Linked DNA regions of Arabidopsis thaliana. The protein of the gene in region 2 interacts with the protein of the main gene of each other region in a pairwise test. Each region holds a gene or a part of one and is shown on either strand. Other genes may lie near its edges. The genes, in order: AT1G68160, AT5G01200 and AT1G10820.

Region 1 (5,622 bases), on a different chromosome or scaffold from region 2:
TATACACCGTTACTTTAAAGTTATACAGATGAATTATCTCTGACAATTTTACACTTTTGAGATTTTCTTTAGTGGAACAAACTTTAATTATATATAGCTTCTAATTTTATTTTATTTTCTAATTTCTAAACATATTACGAAAAATTAATATGAGAGAGTGGTTTCAGCAAAATTAGCTAGGACTTACTTACATGATGAGGACTATATATATGAGAAAAAAACTGTGAATTAAGGTTGGGATTAAAGTCTTAAAGAAACCAAAAGCAGGGATAATGTAGAAATTTGGAGATGCTAAGGCCACAAGTTAATAGTTGAGACTTGATAGATATGATAACTTATTTGTTTTGTTTTTTGTTTTTTTTGTAGTTAATAACATTGTAAATCAGTAAAACCAAAATCTAGTTCCTGCCAACAATTTTGAAATTAAAATGTATGGATCACCTTAATGAGCGAAAGAGTGCATCAAGTCCAACAACAAAGTCTTTCTCTTCTTCATAACATAATGTTCGGAGTTAAATTAACTTGAATGAAACAAATCTTTAATTAATTATATTGATTTGCATTATTAGGAAACTGTTCAGATTAGCCTACCAAAAAAAAGGAAACTGTATTACTGTTAGTGGAGCAAGTATAATGTGCAGTTTATTGGGCTCATAGCATTTTAGAGCCCAAATTTATTCGTTTCTTAAGCAAAATCTTAAATGCGTATAAAATTAGTCTTTTACAAATATAGCATGTGGCCCAATATAAACGTCAGGCCTGATAATATGTTTAAGTGTCCATGACTTTTAACATGTTTCATTTGATAAGCATTTTTTACCAGAAGCTTATGTTAATTCACTTATACGGGTTGGGGATAATGAAAATTGAATTTGGACTAATAGAGCATACATCAATCGAGGAAAATTGCAACGACAAAGAAACGACGGTACATCAATTTTACCTTAGTAAAATCTTGATAAGATTTGAAGTGTGAGTTAATAACAAATTTTAAAAAACCTAACTTATCTAGTGAAAAAAAATGAAAATTATAAAAGCTGATGGCATTTAGATAGTAAACAGAAATCAAAATTGTTAAGTGATAGTAGTCTTGTTGCAAATGATAAGTCCACTGAGAACATGACATCGAGGATCGAGTCTCGCTCCTTATAAATGTTGACAAAAAAAAACAGAAATCAAAACATCATTTTGGTGTATGAATATATTTCTTGATCTATTTAGTGTATCAATAATTTCTTAAATATCAAAAAAAAAAAAAAAAACTCTTCATCGATTTTTATATGCTTGCTTCTGTTATTGGTTCATAACTATGAGTCCAATTATTTTCATAGTCGCATATAATTGTAAAAGTATTGTACGAACGGATCAGTTTATCCCACAATTATTGAGATGCTAAGATTAATTTTTGTATTAACATAAAGAAAAAATATGAATCAAATTCATATATCTTGAGATTTTGACAACGAGGATGTCACACATTGACATTATTAGAAAACAAAAAAAAAAAAAAAAAATCTTGTCTACTTGATAAAACTTTTTGGAATAAAAAAAGTGAGGTAGAAGAAAGAAAGGCATCAAATGCTTTATTATTGGGATTCGCACTATTTACTAAATTCCACGATCTGCCAACCATCTCTTTTATTTATTTACCTATTTTCTTATTTTTTTCTACTAATTTTGGTAGTAAAAAAAAAAAAATGAATATGTTCTTAGTCATATCTCTCCCTTCAATTTAGGAAGAGAATCTTTTCTAAAATTCCCCATTCCTACTTACTTTTATAGTCAAAATCCATTTTTTTCCATTTCAACTAATTGTGTTGGAAAATAATTAATATTAGATTTCAATTAAGTTTATCATCAATATGGTGAAAAGTCATAAAGTAATGTATTAATAATTTTTTCATTATTTGTCTAAAAATCCTTCATTGGCTTATAGCTTACAAGGCTGCTCTGTCTAATATACAGAGGACAAGAGAAAAAAAAAAAAAGAAAAAAAAAATTGTGATTTGGTAAACAAAATCAAATTTTGGTTTCTTTGTGAGAACTTAACTTAGGGTTTATAAAGTTCCAAGCTTTATCCATGGCGTAAGATGATTCACCTTCTCAAAGTTTGATCCTTTTTTCATATCTGATCAAAGGAGAGTTTTGGGTTTGATTTCTAATTGTTAAAGTTTTAATCTTTTTATTTGGGTTTGTGTTCGATTATGTGGATGGCTACTCAATCAAATTCTGGGTTCGATTCTTTGAGTTCTATGATGAGTCGTCACGCTATTAATTTCCAATCTAACACTTCTTCGGAGATGACTCCAATGAGTCCGTACTTGGGGATGAATATGAATATGATCAATGTTGGTTCTCCTGGTTTTCTTCAAACCGGGAATTCTTCGAATGGTTCCGATTCGGGTTCTGGTCTAAAGCTTGATACTTCCATGGTTAGTGAATGGTCAAATGAAGAACAATACATATTGGATGCTGGTCTTGAAAAGTGAGTCTTTCTTGTTTTGTGATTTCTTAACATTAATGAGGATATGAAGATAGTTTTTTGTTCTGTGGAATTTGATATGATCTGATTCTGTGTTTTTTGTAGATATAAGGATATGCCAAGTATTGATATGTATATTCAAATTGGAAACACTTTACCTGATAAAAGTATTCGAGATATTGCTTTGCGGTGTAGGTGGCTGAGGGTAAGTATCTCTCTTCACATATCTGCCTTGTTCTGACGGTTTTTGTAGCTTTCTTGTGACCATTTTTCAGTCATGTAGTTCTACGCTTATGCCATGAATGATATATGTATAGCAAAGAAAAATGATACACAGGGAACAGTTTCTACATGTTCTGATTTCATACATAGCTTCTTAAACTACAGTACACAGAATGAAATGGTTTTGCCTTAGGATGGACTTTTTGGTCTTATTGATGCCTGAGTTGTATCAATATTGAGTTCTTGAGATGAGAATAGTGAGCATAACAGTCTTTGAGTTTTGAACAAAATCTTCTCTTCTCTTATATACTGAATCATTTCTTACTTTTACCTTTTGTCTTCGTCTGTTGATGTACTGACTTTGTTTTGCATAGAGAAAGAGAAGAAAATCAGAAGAATTAAACTGTGGAAGAAGAGCAAGTTCTAGCAAGGTATATTGGAAATTCTTGCCATTTGTTCAATTTTGATGAGTGACTTTTTTGTAAGTTCGATTGAAAGATGATGCTAGGATTGAGATTGAATATCTTTTGATTAATTTAGGTTTTTGTACTAAAAGATTTATATTTCTTCAGGGCAAGCAGGTGGAATCGTCGTCTAAGTCAAGCATTCCCTCTGTTTTGCCTCATAACATGGCTTCATATCCTTTCTCAGGGCCATCTACAAGCACCAGTAAACAAATTACGTCTGAAGGTTAACATCTATCTTTATCTGAGAGATTTCCACCTGAATTTGCTAACTCCAGGTCTTTTTTTTCATTGACATGCACACATTAACATCATATTTTGTTTTCAAAAGGAGGCAATACGTTTTGATGTATGTATTATGGTGCAAATGTCGTTTAAGTATGTATTTTGTTATATAAATAAGTTCATAGGGGATTAGTGTATTTCAGCTAGACTTTTAGCTTCTTGGGACGATGCTAACATAACTACGTCTCTAAAGTAGTTTAGTCTTGGAAGAAGCCTTTACCCATAGATACTGAAATTGGTTTCTTAACTGCATTGTCCTTCTCTAGAGGTGCATTCTTGAGATTATTTATTTCATACATCTAGTAAAGGAGTATAATGACTATTGTATGTTTAAATGGTGAAATTCTATTTAAGTCCGCTCTCTGATCCTATTACCTTGTAAAGATGATCCTTTAAGCTCTCTTTCATATGAAGTTTTGTTGAAGTCACAATAATCTTTAGTCTCTTTTCTTTTCTTACTGATTCTTTCGTGGTTCTGTTTCAGATTTAAGTAGCTATGCAACAAATCTTATAGAACAGAATGTACGAGCTTTTAGTCAAATTAGAGCTAATCTCTCCTCATATAAGGTAAGTTCTAGATTACCTTGTTTAAAGGAATGCAAATGTGTTCTTGCTAAAACCGCTCCGTAATGATAATTGCAAACAGGCAGGGGATAACCTAGATCTCTTTCGTCAGGCAAGGAACAACCTTATCACCATCCAAAATGAGTAAGTTGATACTTTAAACATTTTGTGTATAAGTTTTGTGGAGCTTAGTGACCAGACGTTGTCTTGATTTGGCAGGATAAATAATATGCCTGGATTGATGAACAAGATGCCACCATTGCCAGTCACAATCAATGATGATCTCTCGGTGAGTAATACTACTTTAGTAAGTTAATAGGCTGCTCACTTTTGCATTAACAGTCCATTGTTTTAGATATCAAAATGTCCACATCACCCATTTGCTTGTTTTACCTCAGACACTACCGTAGTTCAAACCCCATATCTCTGGTTCAAGTGCTCAAAATATAGAATTATTGTGCTTCTAACTAGCTGAGTATCTTAAGACCAGTTTTTCAATGTTTTGGTTTGTAGAAATGTCTATCAAGAGCAAATAGAGCAGAAGAATAATAGCTTCCCAATATCAATGACTTTGGTTTCCTCGATTTGTACCAGGTGATGATGCCATTCAATACGATGCAAAGTGGCGGCTTCCATAGGAAGTAGAAGTCTTAGGAAATCATCTGGTTTCCCTTAGTTACCTGTAAATTATCCTAAAGAAGCTGGAGGAGGTAAAAAAAAGCTCATCAAATGTTGGGAAGTTTGTAGAAATGTGATTCTTTCGTAACACCAACGATCTTTATTGCTGCGCGGGATGTTGAAACAAGACATAATATAACGAATGTAGGGGTTCTTGGTCCTGGCTCCTAACTAAAAAACCTTCTTAACAAGTTCTATTAGATAAACTTAGTTCAATTAGTGTCTTGGAGAATTTCTAAGCGATCGATGTGTATAAAAAAAGATTCTATTGAAGAGCGTGTTGAGATTTGCATCTTTAATCTTTTGATCTTTTGGTGTGTTGTTTTGGTACCCATTTTTTCTTAGCATTAATCAATCTTTATTTTTCATAAGCCAACATTGAACGAAATAAAACAATCCGAAACCTTCGATGTTGTATATACGAAACATAAATGTTAGAAACGAGAACAAGAAGAAAGGCAAAGAATCCATAATGACAAATAATGGGACCAAAGAACAAGCATAGAGATATAGGAAACTCTACATCATCCAATTTAATCGGTTTTGAGAAGATGAAACGTGATCTCCTCTAGATGGACCATCAAAGTTCAAGCTTCTTATGGTTCGATTGTTGTAGCTGCTATTTTGTGGGTATGTAATCAAAGAAGAGTCTATGGCTTGAGGAGTTTGGTAATAGGAAGGATGAGAGAGGTTGTCACTGGAATCGAGTAACAAGAATGGAGAAGTAGAGGCAGTGGAAGCCATGGCTGTTGCTCCGACCGGAAGTGGATGGTTATGTGTTCCTTCGTAGGTTGTTATCAGTATTGACATGTCTTCTAAACACCTTTGCACCTTCACAATGTAACAAATCTCATTATCAACTATATATATATACATAGTTTCATTCCATTCAAATGTGGTTATGACATGCTATGAATTCTACATTGG
Region 2 (4,297 bases):
TAATAAAAAATGTTCAAAACGCAATACCATACTTGAAAAAAAAAAATGTTAGACCTAGTTATAAGACAAGACTGAACTAATTAAGTGATCGGTTAGTTGGTAAAACAAAATAGTATTTCGAACTTAATTTTCACCTAAAGTTTAAACGTGTCTACTAATGACTCGATAAACTAAAAAAAACAGTCTTTTTTTTCTTCCAAAAAGTCGTTATCAAAGCAGAATTCATCTGTCGTCGAATTTTGAATGAGTAGGTGCAATGTCACATTTCCAATATTAAAAGAAAACGAGAAAGAAAAAAACAAAATACTCCTCATAAAACGATAGAAATGAAATAAAACGAAGCAAGAGTAATAAATTCGACAGAAAAAGGAGTAATTTACTAATTATAGTAAGAGAATCTTGCTAAATATAGAATCCAAGAAGAAGTCACTCTCTGTGGAACAGAAACCTTGTGTCTGCTACAAATCAGCAGATGACACTTACAGTTTACGTTTCATCATGCATGTGAGCGACACTATAGGGAGAATTCGGTATTGGCTTCCTTTGTTGTCCCTACCTTATTTAATTACTCCTGATAACTATTTTTCTGTGTATTTCATCGTATCGAAATATCCAAATTTCATTCTTCATGGCTGATTTAACTAGTGTTTAATTATAATTATACTTTATACTTTTTTTTGGTTCTTAATCACACATGCTTTCGGGATCTTGAATACGAAATTTTAAACCGTCTATCATTTGTTTCCTGAACCGGGTATTGCAAATAGTTAAATCTTAGTCAACTATTTTTTCGAGTTTTTTTTAAAAATAGTTCTGAAAGACAAAAATACATGAGTTTGTGAAAATGTTTGACAGTTGGCTATAATAATTGGTTGCAATGCTTTATACTTTTACCAAATTTAAATTATTCAATTGGCTAGAAGTGGAGCTGTGGTACCGTCCACATGAGGTGGTGTCGTGGTGAGACATTAATATATGAACTTTTGTTACGATATGAAAGCACCCGACACATACATTCTTCGTATTATCTTGCCTTATATGAATAAACATAAAATAACCAATACTAAATTTGAAACTGTGATACACTAAAGAAAATATCTTTGGTTACATCCAGCTCTGGCTTCTGTTCAAAGTTTTTCTTTTGAATTTATTTAAAGGTTAATTAAGATCACCACCTAACCCACTTGTACAACGGTTCTGCAGTTTTTGCCATCGAATCCCATTGTTTAATTCGCATATTTGTATGATCTCTACTTTTTTTTTAAAGTTAAATAGATTAATTAACAAAATGAAGTTTATTTACAACAAAATAAATGAAAAGTACAAATACGTTAAAAAACAAATTGTTTGCCAGCCAAAAATTAATTAAATACGTAATTTTCGAAGGTGTAATATTCCAACTTGTTTTTGTATATTTGTTTAGCTTATGGAGTTATGGTTGTGTTATTATATATTGAATGGGCTATTTCGTGTTGACAAATAAGCTCTTTAGTTAAATATTATTATGTTCTTGATTAAACAACAAATTAAGAACCGGCCAAACCATTGAACAGTCGTTTTCTGGTCTTTTTCATTTTATTGGTTACACCTTCTTTGTCATAAAATAGAAATTATGTTATACTTTCTTTCATGTATCGACACGTGCATTTGGTTAGTCTTAATCCCATTTCAATTTTATATGATTTATCATATTAGCAGAAAACAAATATGCTAATTATCACATAGATAAGCCATACTAAAAGTATTTATCTGACCTTAGGTTAAAAAAAATATTAAAATATAGCTTATAAGAAACATTCACTACTGAGTTGTCATATTTCTACTGGCCGACTTAGATTGCAACAACTAAAATATATTTTTTATAAATCATTTGACATAGGCAAAACAAAAACAAATATCTCTGTAACTTTTTCCTCAATTTTTTCTTTTAAAAAAACACTTTTTTATACACCTTTTCCTGTTGAATGTATTATTATTCCTATTGATCATCACGTGAAATATAGAAAAATAAAATAAAAAAGCAAAATCCACTTTTGTGTTTTCCTTTTCGTTTACGACCAAAGAGATCCACTTTATGCTCTCTTCATTTTCTCCATGTAATAATTTTTCTCGAGAGATTTCTGAAAATAAAGTCGTTTCTTTTTTTTTTTGCCTTGGTCACTCAAGACTCTCTTCTTCACTCTCTGTTTTTTGTCCTCTTCTAAAATTTAGAGAAAAAAACGAAAGTTTTCACCAAAAACAGAGGAGGAGCTATGTCATCGTCGACGATGTACAGAGGAGTTAATATGTTTTCACCGGCAAACACAAACTGGATTTTTCAAGAAGTCAGAGAAGCCACGTGGACGGCGGAGGAGAACAAACGGTTCGAGAAAGCTCTCGCTTATCTGGACGACAAAGACAATCTTGAGAGCTGGTCCAAGATCGCAGATTTGATTCCCGGCAAAACAGTAGCTGACGTCATTAAACGATACAAGGAGCTAGAGGATGATGTCAGCGACATCGAAGCCGGACTTATCCCCATTCCGGGATACGGCGGCGACGCCTCCTCCGCTGCAAACAGTGACTATTTCTTTGGTCTAGAAAACTCCAGCTACGGTTATGATTACGTCGTTGGAGGAAAGAGGAGTTCGCCGGCGATGACTGATTGTTTTAGGTCTCCGATGCCGGAAAAGGAGAGGAAGAAAGGAGTTCCGTGGACCGAGGACGAACACCTGTAACTACCAAATTTCTTCACTACTTCTAATTAATGTTATAAAGATTTGTTCTAAAAAAATCGATATTTTATGTTATAATACTATAGAATTTAAGTTTCTAAGCCTAACAATTTGTTTATTTTGGTAAATAATTTTGGAACTAAATCTTGTTTTGTGGTATTTTGAGGTAAATATATCTCTTTTATTAATATTTACTTGAAATTCTCTGTTTTTATATGAACTCACTGAGGAGAATATTTCTTTTGATAATTAAAATGCCTAGGATTTATACTTTTCTTACAATTTATATCTATTTTCAAATACTTTCTTGAAATTATTTATCTTATGTGAAGTTAACTAAATATAATATTGATTTACTTTTCTTTGTTTGACAGACGATTTCTGATGGGTTTGAAGAAATATGGAAAAGGAGATTGGAGAAACATAGCAAAAAGCTTTGTGACGACTCGAACGCCGACGCAAGTCGCTTCACACGCTCAGAAATATTTTCTTCGACAACTCACAGATGGTAAAGACAAAAGACGATCAAGTATTCACGATATCACCACTGTTAACATCCCTGACGCAGACGCATCCGCAACCGCCACGACCGCTGACGTAGCACTCTCTCCTACTCCAGCCAATTCTTTTGACGTTTTCCTTCAGCCAAATCCTCATTACAGTTTCGCGTCTGCGTCTGCGTCTAGCTATTATAATGCGTTTCCGCAGTGGAGTTAAATCACTTAGAAATTATCTAGAGTTTGTGGTCTCCTATAGATTTGTTACATACATTTTCTACGTACATATTACTGCAGAATTGTTGTAAATATTTGTATGAAAAGGTTTGTGTGATTCTGCTGTCCATATATTAGGTCTGGTTGGTTGTAATTTTCAGTGTTCCGAGTTTTATAATACCAATATATGATATATATATATGATATATATATATATATATATATATGTGTGACTTTACATACTATATTCTTTAATAATCATATAATTATAATGTAAATACCGTTGACTTTAATGTCAATGCTTGGTGTGAGTCGCTTTTTCTTCCCGACAACTTAGGATTAGTTCGAATCAGCATCTAATTCAGTTTTTTTTTGTTCAAATTAAAAGTAAAACTGACGAAGGATCTGACTATTAAATACTACTTTTTTACTTAATATTCTTCCCATGGCTTCGCTGATCGTTCAACATAACAGAAGAATTATATTCCATTTTCGTGGTTCCATTTACCTCCAATTATTATCATGAACCTGACGGGTGTTGCGTCCCAAATGCTTCGAGCTTTCAATTTGTTTTTTTTTTGTTTAACTAAAAAAAACGAAAAGAAAAGGGAAAACAAAAAAACAACGTCGGCTTACAAAGCCCAAAGAAGAAGAAATAGTTAATGCCCATTAAACTGTGCCCCAATAAGATCCCTTAAACCCCGTAAAAATCCATGATTTTCAAGCCCAGTAGTGATTTGGAGTGTACCGGTGATTTGGAGTCTACTAAAATGTTAAATTCATAAATTGCAAAAAGTTGTAAACTACAGTATTAGGATTACGACCTCTTAAAAATAGAGATACAAAAGAGTATAATATGAAGTCGCACCA
Region 3 (6,579 bases), on a different chromosome or scaffold from region 2:
TTATATTTGCAATTGTACATAGTGGTTTAGCTAGTCTAAGGGATATAGGAGAGAAACTTATAGGTGAACGAGCATTTCGTGTTTTGTTTGCTGGAATCTCTCTTCCTTTAGCTATGAGCACCATTGTGAGTACTCTCTCTTCTAACTCTGCAATTTTTCTCCTGATCAATGGTATAAATACCTGTTTGATGTCTCTTATGGTCTATGCAATGCCTTGTTCTTCTTTCAGGTTTACTTTATAAACCATAGATATGATGGGTCACAGTTATGGCAGCTTCAGGGTGTTCCTGGAGTCCATGAAGCTATTTGGGTCGCTAATTTTGTATCCTTCTTCTTTCTCTATCCTTCAACCTTCAATCTTCTGGAGGTAGCAGCTGTTGACAAACCGAAGATGCATCTCTGGGAGACCGGCATCATGAGAATCACTCGACATCCTCAGGTTTTGAACATTTCCCTAATGTGCCTAAACATGAAGACAATTTCCTTCATTTTTGTGTTTCAAAAATACAGAAAGATTGGATTTTTATGAGCCAAGGTTTATTAGTGGCTGTGTTAATGAGACCCCCAATCATTGAATCAATTATGGGCAGGTATTGGCCATTGACTTAAATACACCCATTACATCAGCACAATCAAATCTCCTCATCCTTCTATGTTTATTACATCAATGCTTGATTACTTTACTTGATATTGCTTTTGATCTTAAAATTCTTATCCAATTGCTTCATCATGTGTTTGGAAAAACTTGATAATATATAGAAAGATAGGCATTTTAGCTTCAGTTTTGGTTTGTTCTATTCTCTCTTCATTATACTGGCTTTGTTAATGAGACTTGATTGTTGCACCTCTCTCCTCTGATCTTCTCCAGATGGTTGGACAAATCGTTTGGTGTTTAGCACATACTCTCTGGATCGGAAACACAGTAGCTGCATCAGCTTCTCTCGGTTTGATTGCACACCATTTGTTTGGGGCGTGGAATGGAGACAGGAGATTGGCAAAAAGATATGGAGAGGATTTTGAAAGCATCAAGAAGAGAACAAGTGTGATTCCATTTGCTGCCATTTTCGAAGGACGGCAAGTTTTACCTGAGGATTACTACAAAGAATTTGTCAGGTTGCCATATCTTGCAATCACTGCGTTAACGGTTGGGGCATATTTTGCTCACCCGCTAATGCAAGGTGCAAGCTTTAGGCTTCATTGGTAAATTATATGTCATGCTTTAGGCTTCATTGGTAAATTATATGTCATTTATGTTTGTTTGTTTCCTGCAGTGTTCATAAAGACTTGTTAAGGAACAAATGTATACAAAAAGCCATATTGTTTGTGATACTTGACTCTTCTTCATTTCTCGATTATTTTGGCTCAACACTCTGTAACCACTATGTGTGAGTTCGATCCAACAAGTGGGTTTAGATTAGTATTAACTAGGAATGTTTAATAGTACTGCTAAATGAATATTTAGGTAAAACTATTTTGTATATAAATTCCCACTCAGATGTCATGGGTCACTCTGACGCCTACCACTATACTAATAGAAGTAAATTTTTCTTTTTTCGATGTTTAGTTACAATCGGAAAATGAATCTAAATTTTAACTAATATTAATAATATGCCAAGATCTCCATCCAAATCTAGATTGATATCTACATATTGATGCCTTGATATCTCTAAACTCTAAAGATAAACTTAAAGGCAAGTGATTAATTGTTAACTAAAATTAAAAATTAACAATACAATTTTAATTCGCTAGTTATAAAAATTTTATTACCAAGAAGAATATGGAAAAAAAGGAATTGGAGGCAAAAAAAAAAAAAAAAAAAAAAAAAGAGGCCAAAAGAAAAGAAAGCAAAGGAGTATGAATACAACAAAGAGGTTCTGCAAGAAACAAACAACACAGCCAATTACTACTAAACAAACACACTCTCTCTTTCATTCTTTCTCTCTCTCTCTCTCTCGATTTTCTCCCATTGGAGTTCGCAATTAGCTGCCACTCTCTGATCGATCTTCTTCTCACATCACATCCTTTATAATCTTCAGTTCTACTGCTCGGAGGTGTTTGCTTGCGTTCTCTCTTGTCGGTCACATCCCTAATTACCATCACTGCCCCTGATTAAAGTTTTACTCTATCTTCTTTGTTGATGCCAAATCTGAGGTGGGTTTCTCATCTTTTTATTCTTTCAGCTGTGTTTTGTTTCATTTATTTGTTTCTGGATTTGCTAAAACCCTAAATTTGATATCTTTGGGGGCATCATCGTAGCTCAAATCAGCTTCAATTATCAAATCTCCACGAATGATTCCAATGGATAATCACTGCTTGCCAAGTACTAGCACCACCGGTCTTGTATTCCCGACCAATTACGGTGTTAATGCGATTAACGCTTCCTCCGGTTTTCACCCAGCTGTGGATGCTTCGGGTTCAGTGGCTGCAGGAGTCAAACAAGAAGCTGCTTTGGTTATGGATTGGTCCGTTGAGGAACAGTATGTTTTGGAGAACGGCCTTGCAAAGTAGGTATCTTCGTTTCTGCTTAATTCTTTGGATATTTCCATTTCTTATTTTTTTAATATCCTAAATGTGTCTTTGTTCATTCGTAGCTTTTCAAACTATGCTTATATTTTTACAATAACAATACATAAAAGTTGAAATCGGGAATTGTTTTATCAGAAAAGTAGTAGTGGGAACATTATATTCTCAATGGTGGACTATTAAAGTATGTTCCTTTGTTCCTTCTGATTATAAAAGTATCGCCTTTGTGTGTTCCATGACATTGTTTTCTGGGACTGGGACCATTAGTAAGTTCGGGTTAAGTTATCGATTTTCTAGCTGAGGTTGTTCCTGGTTACTTTGGTTTTCTAGAGTCTGTAGCTTGTTTGTTCTATTTGTTTGCATTTATGACATCTTTATTTTTTTTCCGTTTGTAGATTAAAAGATGAACCCAAAATTTCAAAGTATGTAAAGATCGCTGCAACTCTACCGGATAAAACTGTAAGGGATGTAGCATTGAGGTGTAGATGGATGACGGTAAGTTGGTTAAGCTTCCTTGAGCTATGTGCATACTTCCTGTTGTTTATGTGCTTTTGCTTAGATGACAAGAAAAATTACCACTCTAGACGTCTCTCAAGGATATTTCTTTTGCTAGGGAATTACTTAGTTGTCTCTAGCATTCCTTTTCAAGTGGTATGTGGCTGTTATGGAAGGATTTTTGTTGAAGGATATTTCTGTCACTGTTAAAAGCATATGCTAAATATGAGGGAATCAGCATGATGATGCAATCTTGCGTGTGTGCTTTGTGATAAAGATAAAGTCCTACAAAAAAAGCTAGCGGTTTTATTGATGAAAAGTCATTGACATGTCGTAAAGATTGTCTAAACACTGGTAAAGGACGAGCAAAAAGAGAAAATGACAAGTATTGCTGACGCTAGATTAGTCTTTATATTAGCTTTCGAGTCCATGATTGTGGAGGAATTATTGGAAAAGGAAATAAGCCTAACGCTTTTTGTTAATTATTTCTGTAGTTATCCTCACATAGATTTTACTTTTACGGGTGATGGCTGAGACTGATCCCTATACTTTTATGGTTTTTTTTTTAAAATGATTATATTGCTCGCAGCATGAGTTTACATACATCATAATGTTAATTGTTTGCATAATAATGAAATGAATTAATGAAGTACAAATGTACAATGCTTTATTATCATCATATTTCCATCTCCTTCATGTCTCTGTCCTTTCATAATTGACTTGAGTTTTCAATCAGATATATGATGTAATCAAACATAAAGCTGCAAAATTACTCCGTTTTCTTTTAATTTAGTGCTTGTTTGCCACCAGATATCTATCATGGTCTTTAAAGTTCTCTTGGCTAAGTCGGGTATCTATTTTCACAGAGAAAACGGAGGAAACGAGAGGATAATAATGCCGCTAAGAACATTAGCACTAGGAAGGTATGCTTGCCCACCTCAACCTTTCTTGTGTCGTATTTACCAGTTAATAAGTCGATGGAGGTAGGTGCCTCATTTACGTTTTGGGTTAAACGGGATTTTCCCACAGATGTGACTTTTATTCATGCAAGTCTGAGCTAACGATGGTATTTTTCAACGAAGAAACTGTAATTGGCTAAATTGCTTGTATGGTGGACTTTTCATGAGAACATATTTTGTTAGTTCCTGACTAAGAAAAAGGACTGTCTGCATGACTGGACAATCAATAAAGTTTGTGATCGATTTTTCAATGACTGACGAGCAGCAAATGATGTTGATCCAACTCTGCAGAAGTATTAGCATATATTACTTATGAGTATCTGAGCTTGTGGGCATGTTTATAATGATAATTATAAGGTAATCTAGTGATTGTTATGACATTTGATAAAGGGTTAGTGTGTGTGTTTCATTTCATGCACATTCTCCTTCCTGGGTCTTATGAACTTCTGTAGATCAATATGCTTTTAAACTTGGTTCTAAAGACCATGCTTCTTCATGGTAAGGTGGTGGATACATCCCCAGAACTGAACATGCTATCCAATGTGCCACAACAAAATGCTTTATATGTCCTGAACAATATGTGCCACAGTACACGCACGCCTTTCGAAGGTCTAGTGCTCTTTTAATTCTTTGCTCTTCTTCTGGGTTGTGTGGTCTTAAAAATAAACAAAATCAAATTGTCAGCTAGGTACTTTTGTTGAACTATTCGCAGGTTTAAGTGACGCAGTAATGGATCTTCTACAGCAAAATGCTCAAGCTTTTAGTCAGATTTCTTACAACCTCTCTGCGTGCAAGGTAATTTATACTTGCAATCCTTTGTGGCTAGTTGTGCGAGAAGATTGACAGACTGAAACTGTCATACAAGTTTGATCAAACATTGTATACCAGATTTCCTACATGCTCAGTTATTCTTTAGAAAATAATTTGATACTGTTTCCTTTTGCAAAGTAATTCGCACATAGATATGCTAACTTAGTGCATACAGCTGCAGGATAACATCAGTCTCTTTCATCAGGCAAGAAACAATATCAGCGCCATTTTGACTGAGTATGTGGATCTAATACTAATTCAATTTTCACAATTGAGACATCTCATCTGTCTTCCTTTCTATAATTTAAACCTTCAATTGCTAAATTCTTAGTTTCTTCTGCAGCATGAAGGAGATGCCTGGAATCATGAGTCGGATGCCGGCTCTACCGGTTTCAATTAATGATGATCTTGCAAGCAATCTATTGTCGAGTACAACACAGGTAATATATTTTGCTACATATGTCAAAATAGCTAATCCTGAAAAGTTCGCCATGTGACCTCAAATAATTAGAGCTTCTTGACCCAAAAAGTGAAACATATTAAGATATAAATATGAACATAGAAACCATTAATGTTTTTTAGTTTTATTGATCTCTTGAGGATTTCTCTTGGAAGCTGGCCATGCCTGATGTTTAGTGGATTGTTTCCCTGTCTCACAGCCAATATCGTACAACATTCCACCAAGCATCCACCTGAAGCAAGAGCCAAGAAGTTGATGGGGAAATCCGGATTTTGACCGATACTAAAGTAAATAGTACAAGAGCCTGGTACGTGGCAGTATTTCCGTGGACGACATGGCAATGTTTATCAACTGCAGACACCGCTTCAGAACATGAGATTCAACAATCAGTATTGGTAAAATCCTTTTGCCCTCGGGTAATTTGACAGAGAAGAATGAATTAGACTCCTTCTAAAGCCAAGGTAAAACTCTTTGATACGAACAAAATGCTTTGGCCGTAATTCGATCATAGGATTCCTTGCAATTCGTAGAAGACGGCATAGGTTGATAGAACTCAAAAGTCTTTTGCTGTAATCTTCTTGTTGAGGCTTAAATTAGTATAGTGACAGTTCTTTTGAGTGGTATTCAGAGGCCGGTTATGTGTAACACAAGTTCTAGTTAAGGTAATAATTTATCATCCTCTAGGTACGTATACGTTATCTTCATGGTTTAAGTCGTGATGTGACACAAATCATTGTATATACGCATTGTCACCTGTCTCAATTCATTGTTATAATGTTTGCAGAATCTTCAGTCCTTATTAGAGATTTACTTTTAAAAAGTTTCATTAATTTCAGACAGAAACAGACAAACAATAATGTAGCTTAAAGACGATGATGAAAAGTAGTTCAGAACATAGCTCAGCACGATGGCAGAGTAAAACTATTACAGATGGTTTATGAAGTCCAAGAAGACAGTGGTGGAGTTTCAGAATTCTTGTAAGTAACTATATAGGTGGCTGACCTTTCCCCTTTCACAGAATCGGGATGTCCCATGGCGTCAAGCTCGGCCATCTCTTCGATACTGAGTTTCACAGATAAAGCTCCTATGTTCTGATTAAGGTTTTTGATCTTAGAGGTTCCTGGGATTGGGCAGACATCATTTCCTTGGTGATGAACCCATGCCAAAGCTAATTGTGCAGGAGTACAGCTTTTCTTCTCTGCCATTGCATTGACCTTCTCATAGAGAATCTTGTTGTGGTCTAAGTTCTCTTGCTGGAATCTCGGTAAACCCTGAAATTAAGAGATGGTGAATGTGCTTAATACTCGGCTCTTTTCTTGAATGTACTTAAAA

The links.
Region 1: the proteins of AT5G01200 (region 2) and AT1G68160 interact in a two-hybrid assay, tested with the Arabidopsis thaliana proteins (one study listed by BioGRID).
Region 3: the proteins of AT5G01200 (region 2) and AT1G10820 interact in a two-hybrid assay, tested with the Arabidopsis thaliana proteins (one study listed by BioGRID).

The regions. Positions count from the first base shown.
Region 1 is NC_003070.9:25,545,208-25,550,829, reverse strand, and holds AT1G68160 (ZZ-type zinc finger protein, putative (DUF3755)), read left to right. Parts: upstream 1-1,935; 5' UTR 1,936-2,204; coding exon 2,205-2,485; intron 2,486-2,587; coding exon 2,588-2,687; intron 2,688-3,078; coding exon 3,079-3,135; intron 3,136-3,276; coding exon 3,277-3,394; intron 3,395-3,937; coding exon 3,938-4,020; intron 4,021-4,099; coding exon 4,100-4,161; intron 4,162-4,236; coding exon 4,237-4,306; intron 4,307-4,611; coding exon 4,612-4,662; 3' UTR 4,663-5,072; downstream 5,073-5,622. Other genes in the region: WRKY9 (WRKY DNA-binding protein 9), read right to left, coding at 5,215-5,526.
Region 2 is NC_003076.8:74,864-79,160, forward strand, and holds AT5G01200 (Duplicated homeodomain-like superfamily protein), read left to right. Parts: upstream 1-2,008; 5' UTR 2,009-2,252; coding exon 2,253-2,713; intron 2,714-3,088; coding exon 3,089-3,431; 3' UTR 3,432-3,680; downstream 3,681-4,297.
Region 3 is NC_003070.9:3,600,361-3,606,939, reverse strand, and holds AT1G10820 (hypothetical protein (DUF3755)), read left to right. Parts: upstream 1-1,881; 5' UTR 1,882-2,151; intron 2,152-2,256; 5' UTR 2,257-2,289; coding exon 2,290-2,504; intron 2,505-2,918; coding exon 2,919-3,018; intron 3,019-3,884; coding exon 3,885-3,941; intron 3,942-4,480; coding exon 4,481-4,586; intron 4,587-4,689; coding exon 4,690-4,772; intron 4,773-4,962; coding exon 4,963-5,024; intron 5,025-5,130; coding exon 5,131-5,227; intron 5,228-5,446; coding exon 5,447-5,503; 3' UTR 5,504-6,030; downstream 6,031-6,579. Other genes in the region: Z-ISO (15-cis-zeta-carotene isomerase), read left to right, coding at 1-125, 230-439, 869-1,204; AT1G10810 (NAD(P)-linked oxidoreductase superfamily protein), read right to left, coding at 6,183-6,518.